Linked DNA regions of Macaca mulatta. The main gene of each other region encodes a partner of the protein of the gene in region 2 in a complex. Links are inferred from orthologs where the notes say so. Each region holds a gene or a part of one and is shown on either strand. Other genes may lie near its edges.

Region 1 (9,386 bases), on a different chromosome or scaffold from region 2:
CGGGCGTGGTGCACTTTGGGAGGCCGAGGTGGGAGGATCACCTGAGGTCAGGAGTTTGAGACCAGCCTGGCCAACGTGGTGAAAACCCATCTCTACTAAAAATACAAAAATTACCCAGGCGTGGTGGTGGGTACCTGTAATCCCAGCTACTTGGGAGGCTGAGGCAGGAGAATCGCTTGAACCCAGGAGGCAGAGGTTGCAGTGAGCTGAGATGGCGCCATTGCACTCCTGCCTGGGGGACAAGCATGGGACTTCATCTCAAAAATAAATAAATCAATAAAAATAAAATTTAAAAAATAAATAAACTTTATCGGGCAGGGCACAGTGGCTCACGCCTGTAATTCCAGGACTTCGGGAGGCTGAGGCAGGTGGATCACGAGGTCAGGAGTTCGAGACCAGTCCGACCAACATGGTGAAACCCTGTCTCTACCAAAAATACAAAAATTAGCTGGGCATGGGGGTGCATGCCTGTAATCCCAGCTACTCAGGAGGCTGAGGCAAGAGGATCGCTTGAACCCAGGAGGCAGAGGTTGCAGTGAGCTGAGATCGTGCCACTGCACTCCAGCCTGGGCGACAGAGTAAGACTCCGTTTCAAAAAAATTAAAAAATAATAAATATTTATTTATTAACTTGGCTGGGCACGGTGGCTCCGCCTGTAGTCCCAGCACTTTGGGAGGCCGAGGCGGGTGGATCACGAGGACAAGAGATCGAGACTATCCTGGCCAACATGGTGAAACCCCGTCTCTACTATAGATACAAAAAAAAAAAAAAAAAAAAGGAATAAACTTTATCCGCTGGGTGCAGTGGCTCATGCCTGTAATCCCAGCACTTTGTGAGGCCGAGATGGATCACCTGAGGTCAGGAGTTCGAGATCAGCCTGGCCAACAAGGTGAAACCCCATTTCTACTAAAAATACAAAAATTAGCCGGGCGTGGTGGTGGGTGCCTGTAATCCCAGCTACTTGGGAGGCTGAGGCAGGAAAATCACTTAAACCTGGGAGGCAGGCCAGGCGCAGTGGCTCATGCCTGTAATCCCAGCACTTTAGGTGGCTGAGGTGGGTGGGTCACGAGGTCAGGAGATCGAGACCATCCTGGCTAACACAGTGAAACCCCGTCTCTACTAAAAATACAAAAAAATTAGCCAGGCATGGTGGCAGGGGACTATAGTCCCAGCTACTTGGAGGCTGAGGCAGGAGAATGGCGTGAACCTGGGAGGCGGAGCTTGCAGTGAGCTGAGATCGCACCACTACACTCCAGCCTGGGCAATAGAGCGAGACTCCATCTCAAAAAATAAATAAATAAATAACCCTCACTCTGAAAGGATAAAGAAAATGTGGTATATCCATACAATAGAATATGATTCAGCCTTCAAAAGGAAGGAAATTCTGACGCATGCTACAACATGGATGAACCTTAAGGACATCATGCTAAGTGAAATAAGCCACACGCACAAGGACAAACACTGTGTGATTCCACTGATAGGCGGTCTCCAGAGTAGTCAACTTCATAGAGACAGAAAGTGGAATGGTGGCTGCCAGGAGCTGGCCAGTGGGGAAGGGCAGAATTTGTGTTAAATGAACAGTGGTGGTGGTTATCCAACAATATGAATGAATTTAATGCCACTTAATGAAATGCAGATTTTAAAATGACTGAAATGGTACATTTTATGTATTTTGCCACAATTAAAGCAAATACATGTGGCCAGGCGCAGTGGCTCACGCCTGTAATCCCAGCATTTTGGGAGGCCGAGGCAGGCAGATCAACTAAGGTCAGGAGTTCAAGACCAGCCTGGCCAACATGGTGAAACCCTGTCTCTACAAAAACACAAAAATTAGCTGGGCATGATGGTGTGCACCTGTAATCCCAGCTACTCAGGAGGCTGAGGGAGAGAATAGCTCGAACCCGGGAGGCGGAGGTTGCAGTGAGCCAAGATCATGCCACTGCACTCCATCCTGGGTGACAGAGTGAGACTCCATCTCAAAAAAAAAAAAACAAAACAAAAAAATAAAACAAAACATGAATCAGCTTATGAAAATAAGATCTTACCCAGCTTGTTCTCCACCATGTTCTGTATGTGGCAGGTGGCAAGTGTGTGTTGAATGAATGACACTGGAGCTTACCAGCCAGCCACACATTGTCCCCATCCCATCCAAGGGCCGATGTGACTGGAGTGACTTAATGCTGGTGCCTGCAGGACTGTCTTGCCTCCTCTCTCTCAGCCTCCTGTGGGTGACTCTGGAGCCCGTTTCAGTCCCCACAGCCCTGCACCTGCCCATCACAGTCCCAGTCCAGATGAGTATGAACCCACCTCCCTTCCTGAACTGAGCCACGCTCAGTCCTGAATGACATTAGCTATTTCCAAAACACTAAATTCAAAGCATGAAGATGTGACTCTGCTGTAATTTTCAGGGACCAATCCATAGGACCTACACGCAATTCCCAATGTCTGGAGATTCAGACGGGACCCCTGGAACAAAGAGGCTGCTCCCAAGGAGACGCAGCACACTGGCTACGGATGCTCGGCACTGGCCCAGGCTCCCCCATGCCGCCTGCCTCACTCCTGTGGCGGGACCAGGCCTGGTGGCCCCTCAGAGTGCAGGAACAGTGTCTAATCTGCCAAGAGACCCCAGGGGAGGGGAGGGGGAGCCTGGTCAGTGAGGGTCTGGGTCTAGATGGATGTTCTCTTCCAATCTAGAGCACAAGCTTCTCCAAAGTAGTCTTTTTCCACAGCCAGAGGCCAGAGCCCCACGTGATGAGGTGCCAGGCCTGATGCTCCATGGCACCCCGTGCCCATGCACGTCCCCAGAACAGCCACCACTGTCTCCCAGCCACTGATCTCCCCACAAGGCCCAGGAGCACAGGGACCATTCTCACTTCCCTGACCCAGAGACCGGGAGCCTTGGCCAAGAACTTACAAAGATAGACTGCTCCTTCAACCGCCTCTTGGCCTCTTCCGCTTCTAAAGTCTGCTGTTTCCTCCTGGAACGATAAGCAGCCTCAGGGTGCGCCCGGGGGACCCTGGAGCGCTGCCGGGCGGGCGGGCTCACCTGTGCTCCTCGATCTGCTGCTCCCGCTCCCGGTAGCGCCGCTCACGCTCCTCTTGCTCCTGCCGCTCCTGCTCCATCCGCTCCTGCTCAAACCTGAGCCTCTCATCCAGGGCCTTCTTCCTCTCCTCCTCCTTCCGCAGCTCTTCTTCCTTCTGCGAGCCCCGGTGCGAGCAAGGGTAGGCCCTGAGCCTGGGCACCTGAACCCTGTCCCTCTGGCCCCTCCCTAACCCAGGGCTGGGGGCGGGGCACGTGGCATGGGCCATGCCACTGCAGTGAGGGACTCAGACCTGCCCCATGGGGTCCACGAGGGGCGGCTCAGCCAGGCCAGGCTCAGGGTTCCATACCTTGGCCTGCTCCCAGAACTGCTCTCGGTTAATCCGCTTCATTTCCACAGCTGCATCTGTCTTCTGGTAGGTGGTGCCCTGCGGTGTCGAAGGACCCAGCGTGGGCAGGCTGAATGCCCCAGGAGCCCCCCACACCTAAAGGGTGAGGGCTAAGAGGGACCGGGCAGGCCAGACTCGAGCACCAGGCCACACAGGCAGAGTCCACGGGTGCCAAACACACACTAACCACGGGCTCTGCGTTCTCATCCTCTCGCAGCCGCAGCCGATGCAGCACGGGGCTGGAGAGCCGCGCTAGCCCGTTGGAGAGCCGCTGCCCGATGGCACCCGCGTCTATGTCTTCCACGCTGCTGGCGTTCACGATCACGTCGACGCCCTTCCACAAGAAGATGGCAGTGCTCAGGTGGCACCATCCTCCCGCCATCACCACCCCAGCACACAGACCCTGGTGGCTGTCCCCACCCCTAAGAGCCCTGGCCCCCGACACACACCTGGAAGAACTCAGCCACCTTAGCCACATGGCTGGCACAAGCGCACTTGCGGGCATCAGGCACATCTTCACCCACCTGCAAAGTACCCAGCAAAGAGGCGGTCGGGAAAGGACAAGGGGGGGCCCTACATGATAGGGTGCATCTTCCCCGGAACTGGTGGGGTTCCCTCTCCATGGGTGTCAGAGGGCCGACGGGCAGGGCACCTGCTCTGGGCCTTCAGCTCCCGTCCCCAGCCCCGGCCGCATACCCAGTTGATGAGCACGTATTTTGGCAGAGCAGCTTGGGAGTCCTTGACGCTGCAGAAGCCGTACATCACCTTCTGGTTCTCAAAGTGTCCCGAAAGCTCCTGCAAGCCCCCTTCTGGGGTAACCAGGAGAGCGTCAGGTGTCTCTGCCTCCTAAACCCTTCCCAAAAAGAGCCTGGAACTCAAAGGAAAGGCTCCTCCAGGGCTCCGCAGGCCCCCCAGGGGTCTTCTGGCCTCTGGGATGTGTGGGCCCCAGTTTGGTGTTGGTATGTGTGGGGGCGGCAGTGCACAGGGATGCGGCTTTGCCTATGACTCCTGCAGGCCCTGATTTGGGGTAGGACTGAGGAAGTGTTTGTTCTTCACACTCAGGTCTCATTCTTCACACATCATCATGTCTCACCAGGTGCCAGTGCCCAGAGGCACAATCAAGCCTTCTGGCTCTGGGGAAGGCAGTGAATAGGGCCCTTCCCCCAAAGCGTCCCAGCTGTGTGGCTTTAGGCAAGTCACTTTCCCTGTTGGAGGCTCAGCCTCCTAAGTCCAACATTCAACAAGCCTCAGAGCTTCCTCCCCACCCTGGGGACACAGGGATGACTGGAGGAAGGACACCAGCCAAATCCAGGCAAGTGTGGGGCTGCAGGGTGCAGGCGGGGAGGTGGCCTACAGTCAGGTGGGTGGGGAAGAAAACAACGGGAGGAGGGGGTGGAGAGGAAGGCGAAGGAATGGCTGGAATTCCTACCTCCTGATGCTGCAAGCTTGAGGTCATCCGAGCCATCCTCGTATGTGTACAGAGCCCTGGGGAGAGGGAGGGGTGGCTGTCAAACTGTCAGGGCCCAGGCCGCCAATTCTGGGTGGGGACGGCTCTGGGGAGGGATAGGGGACATGGAGGGGGTAGGACACGAACAGGGAGGGCTCCTGCTGTAGCCATGACAACAGGGCCAGGCACTGGTTCAGGCGGGAGCCCAGCAGGGTGCCGCTGGAGGCCGGGGTCAGGCGGGGCACAGGCAGTGAGGGGAGAAATTGCTGGCTGGTCGAGCTCAGTGCACAGCATCCCGGCCCTGGCCCTGGCAGCCTACAACCCAGTGGAGCGGGTGTGTGATGGAGATTCCAAGGCGACGGTTCCTTGGTTACTGTTCCCTGGCTACCACAATCCTCATCCCCCATTGGCTAGTGCCAGGAACTTACCTGGCACGTGCCTTGGTCCCCGCTGCCCCTCCCCCGGGGAGGGAGGAGGAGAAGAGAGAACCTGGTGCTCCTACAGCTCTGGGCATCCCCCGGTAACCATGGCAACCCTGCAATTGGCACACGACTGGCCCACCCCAACTGCATTCTCCTTGAACACAAAGGACCCTGGGGACCCGCCCTCAGCCTCAATCTCCGCCTCTCTGAAATGGGGATGAGGTCACTGCAGTCACTCTCGCCCAGACTCTGGCCCCAGGGTGGCCATGCGTGAGCTCCAGGCCTTCCAGCCCCTAGGCTGCCTCAGCCCTGGCTGAGGCCTTCTGAGACTGCTGGCCTTTCCTTCCGCCTGAGCTTCAACAGAAAGCTGACCTGGCGGCCTTCCTCCTCCTCCTCCTCCCCAGCTTTGTGTGCCCTGGCTCCTTCTGATAGGCTGTGGTGACAGAGCATCCATTTCACGGAAGGGAATGCAGAGATGCCTCCCCCATCACCCCATGCAGGCCCAGGCTGAGGACCTTCTGGGAGGGAGGAGAGCCGGGCCTAGGAGGAAGGGCCTTGTCCCTGAGGTTTGAAAGGGCTCAACCCCTTCTCCAAACTCCTATTCCCACGTGCCAAGGCAGGAGGCTGGGGCTGTGAGGAGGGGAGGCAGTAAGGGAGGGCAAAGGGGAAGAGAAAGAGGAGGGGAGAAGCAGAGGGAGAAACAGGGAGAGGAGGAAAAAGAGAAAGGACAGAAGTGAAGGGACAAAGGAAATGAAGGCGGGAGGGACGGAGGGGACATCTTAAGAGGTTGTGGCCAGGGCCAAATGGCCCCAGCCCCTCCCCTTCCTGAATTCCCCACTTCCTACCTCCAGGAAGGAACACAGGTGGGCTGGGAGGCTGGGAGTTCCTGGTCCAACTGTTACCCCCAGCTCCAGCCTGACCCTGACAGCTGCTCCCAGCACAGCTGGCCCACCACCTGTTCTGCTGCCCTAACCCACCACGGGAACAAAGGGCCCTGAGAGAAGCAGGCTCTGTCCCTCTCCATGCACAGATGAGAAACTGAGGCAGAGCCCAGGGACCCTAGTTCCTAGAGACTGCTCTAGACATCAAGCGTCCCTGAGAGGACCTGTCTTGGCCTGCCCAGGCTCCCTGGGGCGCCTTCCATCCTCAGCCCCTGCCTACCCACCTCCGGCCACCTTTTCCTGCTCCAGCGACAGCCCTTCTCCAGCAGAAACCATACCCCAGTTCAAACCCTCCAGCCTGCCTTTCCATCAGACTGCCCTGTCCACACCACACACTTGGGCCACACTGGACGGCTCCCTGACCCAGGCAGGGTTCTGGACAGGGCTCACCCTGGAGCCTCTGCCTATGTTGTTCTCTTCACATGGAAGGCAAGACCTGCTCCTCTACCCCACGCTTATTCCCAGTGGAATCCTCCCGTTCTTCAGAGCCCAGTGCTGGCTGCTGGCCCCCGGCAGCCTCCCCTGAGCTGCCCCTCCCAGAGCACCCACCACATCCCAGCAGGAATACAAAGACCAGTGCTTCTCAAACACATCAGAGGCATCCCGAGCCTGGTGCTGCACCAGGTGGAAGCTGGTGAAACCACAGGGAATCAGGATGGGGTAGAGGACCCCTACATATCTTACCAGCTCCAACTCCTAGAGACAGACACTGCCCCCAACTGTAAGCCTCCTGAAGGCAGGAACGCTGACTCAGTCAATCAGCACATCCTGCTCTCTGGGTCCTGGGGTCCAGCACACCGCACACCATAAGCATGTGTAATATTGACACCAACTTAGAAGCCATCTAGCCAGAGATACTGAACTAGTGTGAGATGGGAGCTGGAATGTGGCAGTTCCAGAGACCCTCGGGTGAGCTGGGGTTGGGGGGTGAGGGCAGGTGGACCCCTCAGGACCATCACTCTCAGGATGGTGGTGCTAGAAAGTCCTTCAGTATCTGAGGTAGGGCTGGGCCCAATCCTTTTTCTTTCCAAGAGGACCAGGAACTTGTATATGATCACAGTGAGTCATATCACAACCAGGACAACAGCGGCCCCTCCCACTATACAACCTCATTTCCTGGGTCCCCTGCTCCCTGTGCCAGAGTAGTGGTCCACTTCAGAGGCCCTGCCACCTAGAGTGAACTCCCCCCCAACCACCCCTCCCCATTGGAAGCAAGGTAAGCGGGGGCAGACAGCCATTTACCCGACACCCCTCCCTCTGGACCTACGGGCAGCGTCTGCCTCTGAGTCTTCAGACCTCACTGCACCCCTGGTTCCATGCTGGGCACTGGGGTATTCATATCCTCTTGTGCAGAAAGTGATCCTCACACCCCTTTTTCAAAATGTGATCTGGGCCCGTAGTGAACAAATATGTGCATGTGTGCATCTGTGTGTCCCACACACAACCCAGATGGGGGGTGACGCACACCAGTGATGAATAACTCGCTTTGGCCACATGGATGCTGCTGGGGTGGGGGGGGCAGGCCTCTGTTGAGCAGGATGTTGAGCAACAGGGGTTCTGTGGCCCTGGCAATAGGCCACCAGGGCTATGCTTTTAGGAGAAAATGGGGTGGTGGCAGACAACACCCCTCCAGGCTGGAGGGCGAAGGAGGTGTTCTGGGGTGAGCTGTGCCTCTCCCCAGGCGGGGCCTTACCCTGAAGCCAGCTCCTACACCAGGCCAAGCCGGCCACTTGCCCAGAGCTCCTCCCATGATCTCAGCCCCCTGGGGCAGGGCTGGGACAATGGGTGGGCCGCCTGCCTGCTGAGTCTGTGCTGGCCTCTCCTGTGACTGACCTGCAGGACACGAGAGCTTGTCTCTCTCGCGTCCATCCCTCCAGGCCTGGCTGCTGGCCAGTGCTGCAGTACCATGCCATGGATGCCCAGCCATCTCATCCTCTCCTCCAGGAGCCCCCAGGTCAGAGTCTCCACCTGACTGCCCGCCCAGTGTGTGGGTGAGGCCAGCCCAAGCGGGGTCCTTCAGACCCGCCCTCCTCTTTGCCTCAGTTTCCTCAAGAAGAGCCTGTTCCCATCTGCCAGCGGGGAGAGGAGGCCTAGGAACCAGATGGGCACCTTCCCCAAGAGTATTACGGGGTGGGGCGGGGAGGAAGAGGATTCCAGGATGGGGCAGTGAGGAACCCCTCGGTTTCTTCTTTCCGCCGCCAGCCAGCCCCAGAGCAGGTGGTCCATCCCCTCCCCCAGCTCAGGGGGAGACAGCAGTTGGGGGGCGGGGAGAGGGGCGGCCCAGCTCCTCCCCCATCAGGGACCGAGGGCCCCTTGGTAGGGGCCCGTGGATCTGTTCACCCCTTCAGCCCTCTTTCGGGGCTCCCTCCACACTTGTTCTCCAGAGGGCTTCCTCCCAGGGACCTCAGCTGGCGCCCTAGACAGGCAGCTCAGTGCCCCCCAGCCAGCTGCCTAGTCCCCGCAGTCCCCTTCAGGTAGGGGAGGAGAGCTCACCCCTGCCTCCTCCGCGACCCGCGGCGGTAAGGGAGTCACTTCGCGGTCGCCATGTGGCAGCAAACATCCTTCCACCTCACTCCAGCCCAGGTTTCCGGGGGGAGGGCGGCCCACTCCGAGAGGCCCCCCGGTGGGCGGGGCGCCCGGCCCCCATCCCGCTCCGCTCCTCCCCCGCCCTCGCTTTCCTTTGTGCTGTGGCCGGGCCGGGATGAACCAGGCAGGCTGCGCTGGCTCCGCTAGCTCGGTCCCCGCCCCGTCCCCACCCGGACCTCGCCCGCTCGAAGGTGGCGAAGGTGCCCTTGGCCGCCCCGTGCACACCTGTCCCCCGGGCCCGGGGGTAGGGTGGGGGATGGGCTCCCGCAGGGCCACGCGGCCCTGGGCCCCACATCGGGACCCCGCGCCTCCGGGCCGCGTCCGGCCGCCGCTCCCACCGCGCGCCTGGGGCCGCCTCCGGGCACTTGGGACCCGGCAGTGCCCCGCCTGGCCCGCCGGCCCCTCCCCCGGCGCGCACAAAGGCAGCCCCTCCCGGCCCTCCCGGCCCGCTGCACCATTTCGGGGTCCCCCTCCCTTCCCGGCGGCGGGGCGGCGGGGCGGGAGAGAAACAAAGGCGCGGCGGCGGCGCGGGGACAAAGGGGCCGGGGGCGGGGGCGGGGG
Region 2 (9,972 bases):
CCAGAACTAGGAAAAGCTGAACCAAAGGACACCAACAACCCAACGTTTAGAAGCTTAAAAAAAAACTCTGCAATGACAGGGAGAGTTTGTGAAGTCACAGGTTCCTAAGGAAAAGCCTTCTCTTGTAGATCCTGAGCTTTCAACATGAGGCTCTGTGATGAGGCCCCCTTGCCCTCGAATTAGGTGGGTAGAAGGTTAGGAATTGTGCAGCCCCGTGGCACAGACTGCAGACGGACAGGTGTCTGTGCAAACACAAAAATGTTCCCAGGGAGCAGGCTGGGGGGAGGCGAGGACGAAGCCCGGTCCCCCTTCTCTTCTCAGTCTATTAGAAACCAGCTTTGCATCCATACCAAAAAGGTGCTAGGTAAAATGAAAGTGCTTCAAGGACAGCAGGCATCTGAAAAGCCAAGCTAAAGGGCTGCACCTCAGTCTACAGCCAAGGTAAAATAAAAAGGCTGTTTATAAGCTTGCAAACAGCCACCAAATACCCAGCCCTCTGAAGCAGCCAGTCCTAAGACAGTCAACATCAAGGAAAGACAATCCGAGTCTGCAGAGGAGAAACACAAGGAAAACACTCCCTTATCCAATGCACAGGATACTCACAAATTAGATTTCTGACCACCCCCAACAGAGCCTGAGAATTAACAATGGGTTTTGCAAAACCCGCTTTCAGAGGCCGAACTAACAGCCTGAGTGGATAACGTCATTTACTGTTACAGGTCTGAGCATTGGCCTCAGAACTCCTCTGGTGCTGGGAGTGAGGAGTTTCAAGGTGACTGCTTTTTAGCTCCAGGGGAGAAAGGAGGGCACAGTGCCCAAGGCCATGCCAGGGCAAGGACAGGCCATTGGCCCCCGTCGGCCGGTAGGTAGGTAATCGGGATGGGGGGGGCAGGCTGGCAGCACACTGGCTGCAGAGCTGGCATGGCCACTGCCTGCTTGTTTGTCTGCAAGGAGAGTGGGAAGTAGGGGGGAGGGCAACCATAATCTTAGCAACCTGAGCCAAGGGTGAACCCTTGCTCAGATTTTGCATTTTAAGAGTAACCAAAGGGCTTCGAAACATATTCCCTTTTTAAATCTCTGCTGTTCAGTAGCGAAGGCCCCTTTGAATGTATCTTTCTTTCCAGAGTCAACCAGAGGCAAAGCCAGATTGAGGGTTCCCAGGCTGACAAATGTCTGCTGCCTCTGCCACAGGAGAGAGAAGGGGAAAGAGGGCAAAAGAAACAAAGACATCACACATTGGAAGTGGCTGGACTTTTAAAAACCTACCTTTGCCTCAGGGTTTTCTAGGTTACTGTCACCCCACTTCCTAAAAAGTGTCTCCCGTCCTCATATTTAAGACCTGATGCAGTCTCCCCACTGGTTCTCCCAGGGAAAGAAAAGGGGGAATGTTTTGTTTAAAATAAAAGAGGTTACAAGAAAGAAAGGAAAAAAAGCTATTGTTTTCATCCCTAATTTATAATCCAAGAGGCCCCCAATTGTTTCTTTCTGACTCAAATCTTTGAGCTGTTAATTATAAAAGTAACTGGACTTGGCGCCAACGGGCTAACTATGATCAGGCTCAGCAATTAGAAAAACTCTGTAGAAAGTTTACTGAGTGATTATATATAATTAATTCCTAGTTACAGACTGAACACTGACCATTTTCTGGAGCTAATAAAAGCAGTTACTCCCCCTCCCCCACGTGAATGCCACTTAATTTCCCAAAGCAGAAAGTGAACCCATCCTGGAGGGTCTTGAAGGAAAAAAAAAGAGGAATCAAAAGCTTCAGTGTGTCTGTGTTTGCTCCTTGCAGCTGTGTATCCTCTTTGGGGACTGAGGAGGCAGAAGGAAAAAGGAAAACAGCCCAACATTCTGTTCCTCCCTCTGCAATTTACAAATGTGGCAGAGAGAACATTATACCTTGATGAGAAAAAGAAGGGGGGTTGTGGGGGGAAGAAGGGAAGGGAGATGACCTAGGAATGGAAGGTAGGAGACTCTTCTGTTTGGCAGATCCGCTTTTCCTAAAAGGAACAAAGATGGTAGAAATTTCCAGAAGGCTTGTTCTTAGTTCGGCCACTGTAATTGTCAATCTTTAACCTTTCCTCCAAGTCTATTGGTTTAAAAGCTAGAGGAGAAGAACCCCATTGGGCTGCTCTGGGAGCCAGTACTGCCGTCCCTACCTAGTCCTGCTGCAATGCAGACATTTTTTTCCCCTTTCCTGAAACTGGAAAATAATGCTACTTTGAAAGCAATTAACTTTTTACAGACTCATGCTTGGTAGGGGTCACAGTACCAGAGGAAAAGTGGCTAGCTTGGTCCAGTGTTGGCAACTTGCTGGGGGCTGTACATCTGAGAACACATCTTGGCTCTCCAAACCTGTGGGAGCCATTTTAATGCAAGCTTTTAGAGGACAAACGCCTTGCCCTTAAGTTCCCTTCCAGCCCAACAAACACAGTATTATGCAAACGTTGAAGGCACCAAACCAGGAGTCTTATGATTAGACACTGCTTCTAGGGAGGCCACAAGAACCTCAATATGTAATTTCCATTTACAGCAAGGAGATAAGAACAAAGAAAATAGCTGAGTGTCTAAACTTACTTGTTTGGGGCAGTGGCACTGTTCAGTTTTAAGTATGTAACATCATTAACTGCCTGCAGTTTTACTCTAAGAAGCTAAGCTGGCCTGCCTTGCACAGACTTTTTTCAACTTAGAATGTGGTACGAAACGTTTCTCCTGATTAAATGAGCCTTTTTCCAATTTGGTGTCAGAAAGTGGGCTACTGGACACTCATTTGAAAGAAAAAAGATTACTGACTCCATAAAGTTGACATAACACAGCAATTGAATATATTTCCTGCATTTACAGTCATGTCAGATTGGTCTCCAAGCTGAAAATTTACGTACTGAACTTCTAGGGAAATTCTAAAGGTAATGCTAAACAAGACTCTACTTTTCCCACTTAACTTCTAGCTGCAGCCTTAAGAGGTCAAGGGAAATGTAAAAAGTGACAAATCTTATGTGGGGTCAGCATGCATACAGATGTGTGGATGAGACCTGAAAAAAGGCCAAAATGTGTTGGTCAGTGAGTCCTGAATCCAACCCCAGTCTGGTGGCAGATGAGATTTTGCACTATACATAAGTCCTAAAGCATGAGCACACTGACACCACCCCCCCCCCCAGCACACACATACCACCACCACCACCACCACCAGCTTCTGCCCCACCAATGTTTTTAGGGCTCTGCAACTCTAAGAACAAGCAGCTTCATTACATTTCACAAGCACATCACCTACTCACAGTTTGAATATCCAAACAAACCCCATTAAAGGTCTAGAGTCAAGTCACAATGAACTAAACACTTCTCCCCTGACTCAGGGTAAACAGGAAGTATAATCTTCAATCCTAGCTGCAGGTTATCAGGAAAAACAGTGGATTCAAACAGTCACCTAAAATCAAGACACTCTTTAAAAAGCCCTTATTTTGTTCCTGCTAATGAAGCCCCCAACTCCTGCAGCCAAGACCCCCTATTACAAACAGACCCCAAATGTTCGCAAAACTCTTCAAACATGGTCACAGAGGAAATGGATTGCTTTACTTACCCAACAAATGTTCAAGCAACCGTCTCATTTTTCCACAGTTAGGAAGAGAGAACAGGCTGGCAGATTTGGGACTTGATCAAAAAGGAAATTTTTTTAAACAGTTACATGGTATTATTAAAAACACACAACAACAACACAACCCAACAACTGAATATGGAATGCTGTCATGAGCCACAGACATGATTTTATTTCCTCTACACTCCATCACACAGGAGAAGAGAGGAGGATACAATGTATAAAAGGGACAGGAAAATGAAAACAAGGATAAAAGGTAACATTAGTTCCTTGAAAATCATGCAAGAGTAGAAAACTAAGGGATTCAGAATCCTTGCAGATTTTTTCTTTTTTTTTTTTTTTTTTTTTTGCAGGATGTTGTCCAAGATCTCTCTCCCCACAGCCCCCAGTCCACATCCCTACTCCAAAAACTTCCTCCAAAACCTAGAAAACACTTTCAGAAACATTTGCTGGCTGTAGGCTGGCTTGCAGAACACTCTGTAGCAACCTAAGTCAGGAAAACAGGCTGAACAATGTAGTTTCAAGTGCAGAAGCTCTGTAGAATAAGAGAAGACCGTGTACAGACACCACCACCCACCTAGGCCCCAGGAGCTAGACTCTCCTTAGCACTGCTCTGCTGAGGGTTCAATTCTTTTGCAAACACGCTCCTCTCTTGTCAAAACTTATCCAGCCTTCCCAGAACCTCTTTGGAGAGGCAAACTTGCCTGCTCTGCTGTCTGCCATGAGCTCTCCTTGGAGAGGAGCCTGTTTGCTTACCTTCCATTTTCTTCCCCCAGCAGGGCATGTGGCAAAAGAGAAGACAATAGTGCAGGGGTGGGGGGGGGGACTGCTCAGAGAGAGAGAGGGGAAGAGAGAGGGAAGAGGGAAAGAAAAAAGAAGAAGAAGAAGAAGAAAAAAAAAAAAGCTTCTTTTTTGGCATACCAGGATCTAGCTTCAAACTCTTCCAGAAACACCATGCCCTGGTGGAAGGAAAGGTGTGCCAGGCCCTTGCCAGTTTGCAAAATCAAGCTATGGCTAATGGCTACTGAGCCATGTGACCCAAGAAAGCAAAAAAATTCTCTCTAAACAGTTCCAAGTTAACATAAGTGCTCTGGGGGTGAGTGTGGCACGGCCAGCCACAGAGAAATCACACTGCTCGCCCACAATTCGGATGTCTCAGAGGGAGGGGGAAAAAAGATGGTTAAAAAGTCGAGCTTACCTCTGTGGATGCATTGTTAACACTGTGTAATGTCAATACTTATAAAACATGGAGGACAGGCTCCTAGTTCTCACAGAAAAAGGGTTTGGCACTTCGGCTGATGATCTGGCCGCCTAATAAAAGCTCATCCCCGATTGGCTGCCCTGGCAAATCGGAGTGTAAAGCCGCCCCGGATTGGCTGAAACACTTCCTGAGCGATTATCTTTGTGAGGCTCGGGTGAGCAAGAGCCATCCTGTGCATAGAAAAAGACAGGCTAAGCTAGGCCTTTTGCAGCAAGAAAAACTTGGGAAAGGGGCCCCCACACGCACTTCTCCTGCACCGTGGCTAGATTTCCCGGCACGGGCCGGCCAGGGCAGCCAGCCTGACCTGCTCCAGGGAAGCCTGAGGACTGGAGGCCCCTGGGAAGGGAGTTTCTTGGAGTGGGCTGGAACGGCTCACCCTCACCTGCCCCCAGAGAAACGGCCCTTGTCCAGGGAGGAAGGCCAGCCGTTTTCTAGAACAGTCCAGCAGGGTGGCTCTCCAAGGGGAAGGGGAAGCTGGGGAGTGGGGAGTCCCACGGAAACAGCCAAGGGGGCCAGAAAAAGGGGCTTGAGGCAGGCCTCTGAGGAGCTGGGGAAGCAGGCAGACCGGGGGAGCCACGAAAAATCAGCAGAGAGCAGCCCTGGCTTCTCAGAGGAGCGAGGAGTAGCTGCTGAGGGGAGGAGGGGAGCAGAGTGGTCAAGTTTGCATAGTCATTGTCCCCATGCCTCCTTGCAAGGCAGGCCAGAGAGCCGTGGGCCTCTCGCCCTGCTTAGCCAGTCCTGCGTGCAAAATCAACGTGGGTTCCTGCCTCCCTGCCACGATGCCAAGGGGGACCCCTCTCCGTCCTTACCCTAAGAAAAACCCAAAGCCCTCCTCGCAGGCCACATGCCTGGATCTACAAACTTCCCTTGCCTCCCGGCCCCTCCCCCACGGCCGAGGCCTGCTAAACCTGTCAGTTAAACACAAATCTGACTTCCGTATTAGCCTGCGATGCCTTCGGCTTCCTGCCTGTTAACCCTCTCTCGGACTCCGGGCCTGGCTGGGAAAAACTAGGCCTTGAGATCGCAGCAAAGGCCTGTGGAAAAATACCAGCTGCAGCTCTCCCGGCAGATGCAGAGAGAGAGAGAGAGAGAGCCGCAGTCTCTCAGCCTTTGCTTCCCAGGGAGGCGTGTACCTTGTGAATCCAGGGCACAGGCAGTGCCTCTCGGGCTGAGAAGCCATTTCAATCCAGAGGGAGACAGAAAGATGGCACGCTCAGCCCGGAAACAAGAGCCCCCATTATGCGTCAGGCCTACCCCCGTAGGTCAGCCCTTCCTGCCACAATCATCCCTGTATGTGTGTGCCTGGGGGAGTTGGGCCCTCCTCGGTGGGCAGACAAATCCCCTGGGCTTCCTAAGGATTCTTGCTTCCATTTATTTGCACAGAGAACGGCTTCTTTTCGTCCCCCAAGGCAGATGGAGCAGCGATTTCACACACAGCCCTCCATTTGGCAGCCCCCCCACCCCCATCTCTGGCACCACTCCCCAGTAAAATATTAACTGGTTGTTCAGAGCTGCTTATCATTCTACCCACTTCAATTGCGTTAGGAGGTCTTTGCCGGTCTCCTCCCTAAAGCTGCCTCTGCAGTTGGTCCGTACCCGGAGATCGAAAAGGACCTTAAAATGTCCAAGTTTTCTTGCTTGCTTTCCTTCTTCAGCATTTTAAATGACAAGGTGCTTAATTAACAGGATTTTTTAAAACAGCAAGCTGGAACCACAGAAGCTAAATAAACACCATTCTTTAGAGGCTGGAGAAAGCTTCCAGAGTTAACGCAGCCATATGCCAGGAGGCATAACTCTGGAGCAATAAAGTCTCCCCTCTCCTCCTAAAATTAGGACTTGTGGGCTTTCTTGTCCCACACGGTTCCCACAAAGAAAACGAAGAGCTGATGGCTTGCTTTCCCTGCCCTTCCAACCCCCACATGGACAACAGATGCCCACTGCTTGTACATAAATTCTTCCTGGCCGGGAATCTCCTATCAAACAGGCTCAGGAACGAGCTGGGAATTGAAACTCGCTGTACTGCAGGGCAGGACCCAGGCTTTATGAAAACGGACAGGATGTTGCTGTTGTTACTGTTTTAGACTGCTGAGGCCAAGCTGCAGGGAGGGACAGTTCCATGGCCACCCAACCTGACAAAGCTCCAGCGCTCAGGACAGCAGGCCTGGGCCTCACCAGAAGGGAGGGGCCTGCTCTTCCTGGAGGTAGAAAGCTGCATGGGGAGACCAAATGGGAGGAGGCGAGAGGTGGAGGCCACAGTGAAGCAGTGCGTGCTCGGTGCTCGCCCTCCTAGCTGTGTGGGCAGCGGCCCTCCACCACCATCCCATATGGAATGCTGTTTGTTTCTGCGGGTGCTGCTTTGAGGGGAACAAACAGGACTGTGGGGTTGGTGGCAGATCTGGCATGCGGCTAATTCCACGAACCAATGAGGAAATAAAATATGCCGCTGGTGTGCGTGGTGGATTTTAACCTGGGATTAAAGCTTGTTGCATAAGCAGCTACAGCATCCTCCCCGCCTCCCTCCCTCTCTCTGATCACTTGATCACTTGAAATGTTTTCTGGGGCAAAGAGCAGGAAGCTGCTGGCTTATTCTGGCAGCTCTGCTCTGTTTGAGGAATGCTGTTGGCATTCGGGTAGGTCTGAGGTTATCTGGAAAACAGTAATTCGACTGGGGACAGACACAAAAGTATGGTGGCAGATGGAATCCTGGGAGGAACACAGATTGAAAAGAAAGCCTGGGGCAGAGGCCTACGAAGGGCTGGTCCTGGGCTTGATGGAATGTGGCTGATAAGCAGGAAATAAAACCAAATGTTGCAGGTCTCAATCTAGAAATCCATTCAGCAGCTCCTCTTAAAGCCCCACTGCAGTGAGTATCCCAGCAGCTACTTCTAAATTAGTGCTTTACATAGACTGATTCCTGAAGTAGATGACATTGTTAGAAACCTGGAACTAAGCCCAGAGAGGTGAAGTGAGCTGCCCAAGGTCACACAGCTGGGAAGTGCCAGAGATCAGACGTCCATCCCCGTTAGCACTTCACATCCCTAAACTCTGTACTTTCACCTGCCTCTAAAGAAAGGAGCAAAAGCAAAGCTGAACCGAGCACAGCAGAAACAATGAGGCTAAAACCTACCAACAGCAACTGCATAATCTGTGTTTTATTTTAGGAGGTAGACCAGTTTTGTTTGTTTTTCGATACAGTGTCTCGCTCTGTTGCCCAGGCTGGAGTGCAGTGGCGTGATCACAACTCAGTGCTGCAACCTGAAGAAGACCAACCCTATTGAGGTGGGTTTTCAGTACTGAATGATGGCGCTGAAGGGAACTTTTAGATTAGACTTATTCAAATGCCCCTCATTACAGACTGAGGCCCAGGGGAAGCGACCCTCGCCCTCCCAACCTCCAGCAAGATGCAAGATGTCAAGGGAGAACACTTTGCCATCTCTAAAATTAGGCTTTTATATTCCATGAAACCAGTGGTTCTCAACCATGGGGGGTTTTGCCCTCCAGGGGACATTTGGCAGTGCCTGGAGACATGTGGGTTGTCACAGCTAGGGAGGTTGTATTGCTGGTATCTAGTGGGTAGAGGCCGGGGATGATGCAAAACATCTATGGTACACAGGACCAGCCCCCCACAACAAGGAAGTATCTGATCCAAAATGTCCAAGGTTGGGAAACCCTGGCTTTCAGCCCTTTAAGGAAAGTGAAGACAAAAGTCCAATCATTCTGCCTCTGGCTAGAAAAGCCAGCACAGGCCTAAACAAGCAGGTTCCTTGGTGATATTAATAAGCAATGAGCTAATAAAAATAGATTAAAACATGTCTCTCTTAATGTTCCCAGGGTACAGAGAGGATCGGGGTACAGAATCAGGCTGTAGGGAGCCAGGCAGAGTGTCACAGTAACAATGCTGGTCTCGAGGGAGAGGAAGGGCTGGCCCCAGCTCCCTTCCCCCAGCACCTTATGAGCTGAGGCCTGGCCTCCCTGAAATGGCTCGCCCGTTCCGCTGGCCTCCAGCCAGGCGAGCAGCGGCAGGAGCGGCCCCACAAGCTGCATCCCGAGATAGCCTGTTTGGCTGTCTCCGAAAATAAGCACACTTGCAGTTATCAGCCTCCAGCTACAGCAGGCCTCTCTGACCGTTACACGAAATGGACAGGATTGAGGCAGGGACGTGTTTTAAATATCTTGTTTTATTTTGTTCCTTTTTGGCCAATTAGAACTGAGGCCAACTTCGGGCACGGTGTCAGAAGGGCTCACCTTCAGAGCCCGGAGCTGATTGCATCATGTTACAGCCACACATGTTACAGCCACAAAGAGGCAGATAGGAGCCTCCCTCCCTTGCTGAAGATGCCTACGAGGAGAGGGGTGTGGGGTTTTGTTTTGTTTTGTTATGTTTTTTTACCTCTTTCTAGGAGGGACTGGCAGGATTAGGCAAATGGCGGGAGGGAAAACAAAAAGGGCTGGTGGAAAGGGCAGGCGGTGAATGATCGCGCCTCATCAGGCAGATGGCCACAGCGCGGGTGAGGCGCCGAGCAAGGGATGCAGGAGCACAAGGAAAATAAAAGCAGGAAAATTCAGGCCCTACCCTTTTTTCTTCCTAGCAATTACTTTTATGGGCAGAAGACTATAGATTTATTCGCTGTGTTTCTCCCTCCCACTAGACCAGTGGTTTTGCCCCTGCAAGGGGACATTTAGCAATGTCTAGGGACATTTTGGGTTGTTTCCATTTTGGGTTGTAAGATCTTTCAGGCAAGTGGGGAGTGCTACTAGCATCTAGTACTGCTAAACATCCTACAATGCACAGGACAAGACCCCACAGCAGAGAACTAGCCAGCCTCAAATGTCAATAGTACAGAGGCTGAGAAGCTGTGCACCAGGCTGAGCGCTTCACAAGGCAAGGAAGGACCTTGTCTGAATTCTTCACCATCATGCCCTCAAGAGTCGAACACAGCACTTGACATATATTAGAGCTCAGTAGAACGCCATCTCCCATCCGGATGGTTGCAAGAATCTTACCTGAGCTCTCTGCTTCTGCCCTTGCAAACACTTGTACACATGCACTCACACACACATACGCACCATACCACCCAGGCTGCGAATGATCCTTTTATTTTATTTTATTTTTCGCTCC

The links.
Region 1: the proteins of ZMYND8 (region 2) and DBN1 are in contact, whole or in part, in a crystal structure (PDB 5Y1Z), measured with the Homo sapiens proteins. The link is inferred for Macaca mulatta from reciprocal best matches to the Homo sapiens genes ZMYND8 and DBN1. Residues at the interface, in NP_001350670.1 of Homo sapiens: Gln167, Pro168, Gly169, Thr170, Gln236, Ile237, Val240, Lys243, Ile244, His247, Trp269, Leu285, Gly287, Phe288, Phe307, Gly309, Gln310, His311, Asp312, Ala314, Thr335, Lys336, Ser337, Ile338; in NP_004386.3 of Homo sapiens: Met1, Ala2, Phe6, Ser7, Arg10, Leu11, Leu14, Tyr17, Glu18, Asp92, Ala93, Cys96, Ala97, Ala99, Ser100, Lys104, Glu107, Phe108, Gln110.

Annotation. Positions count from the first base shown.
Region 1 is NC_133411.1:186,447,794-186,457,179, forward strand, and holds part of DBN1 (drebrin), read right to left. Parts: intron 8,988-9,386; exon of another isoform or gene 8,733-8,987; intron 4,915-8,732; coding exon 4,859-4,914; intron 4,239-4,858; coding exon 4,126-4,238; intron 3,954-4,125; coding exon 3,879-3,953; coding exon of another isoform or gene 3,764-3,878; coding exon 3,617-3,763; intron 3,469-3,616; coding exon 3,391-3,468; intron 3,199-3,390; coding exon 3,047-3,198; intron 2,979-3,046; coding exon 2,915-2,978; intron 1-2,914. UniProt on the Homo sapiens protein: Actin cytoskeleton-organizing protein that plays a role in the formation of cell projections. Required for actin polymerization at immunological synapses (IS) and for the recruitment of the chemokine receptor CXCR4 to IS.
Region 2 is NC_133415.1:100,157,825-100,167,796, forward strand, and holds the start of ZMYND8 (MYND-type zinc finger-containing chromatin reader ZMYND8), read right to left. Parts: upstream 4,865-9,972; 5' UTR 4,805-4,864; coding exon 4,791-4,804; intron 3,649-4,790; exon of another isoform or gene 3,578-3,648; intron 1-3,577. UniProt on the Homo sapiens protein: Chromatin reader that recognizes dual histone modifications such as histone H3.1 dimethylated at 'Lys-36' and histone H4 acetylated at 'Lys-16' (H3.1K36me2-H4K16ac) and histone H3 methylated at 'Lys-4' and histone H4 acetylated at 'Lys-14' (H3K4me1-H3K14ac).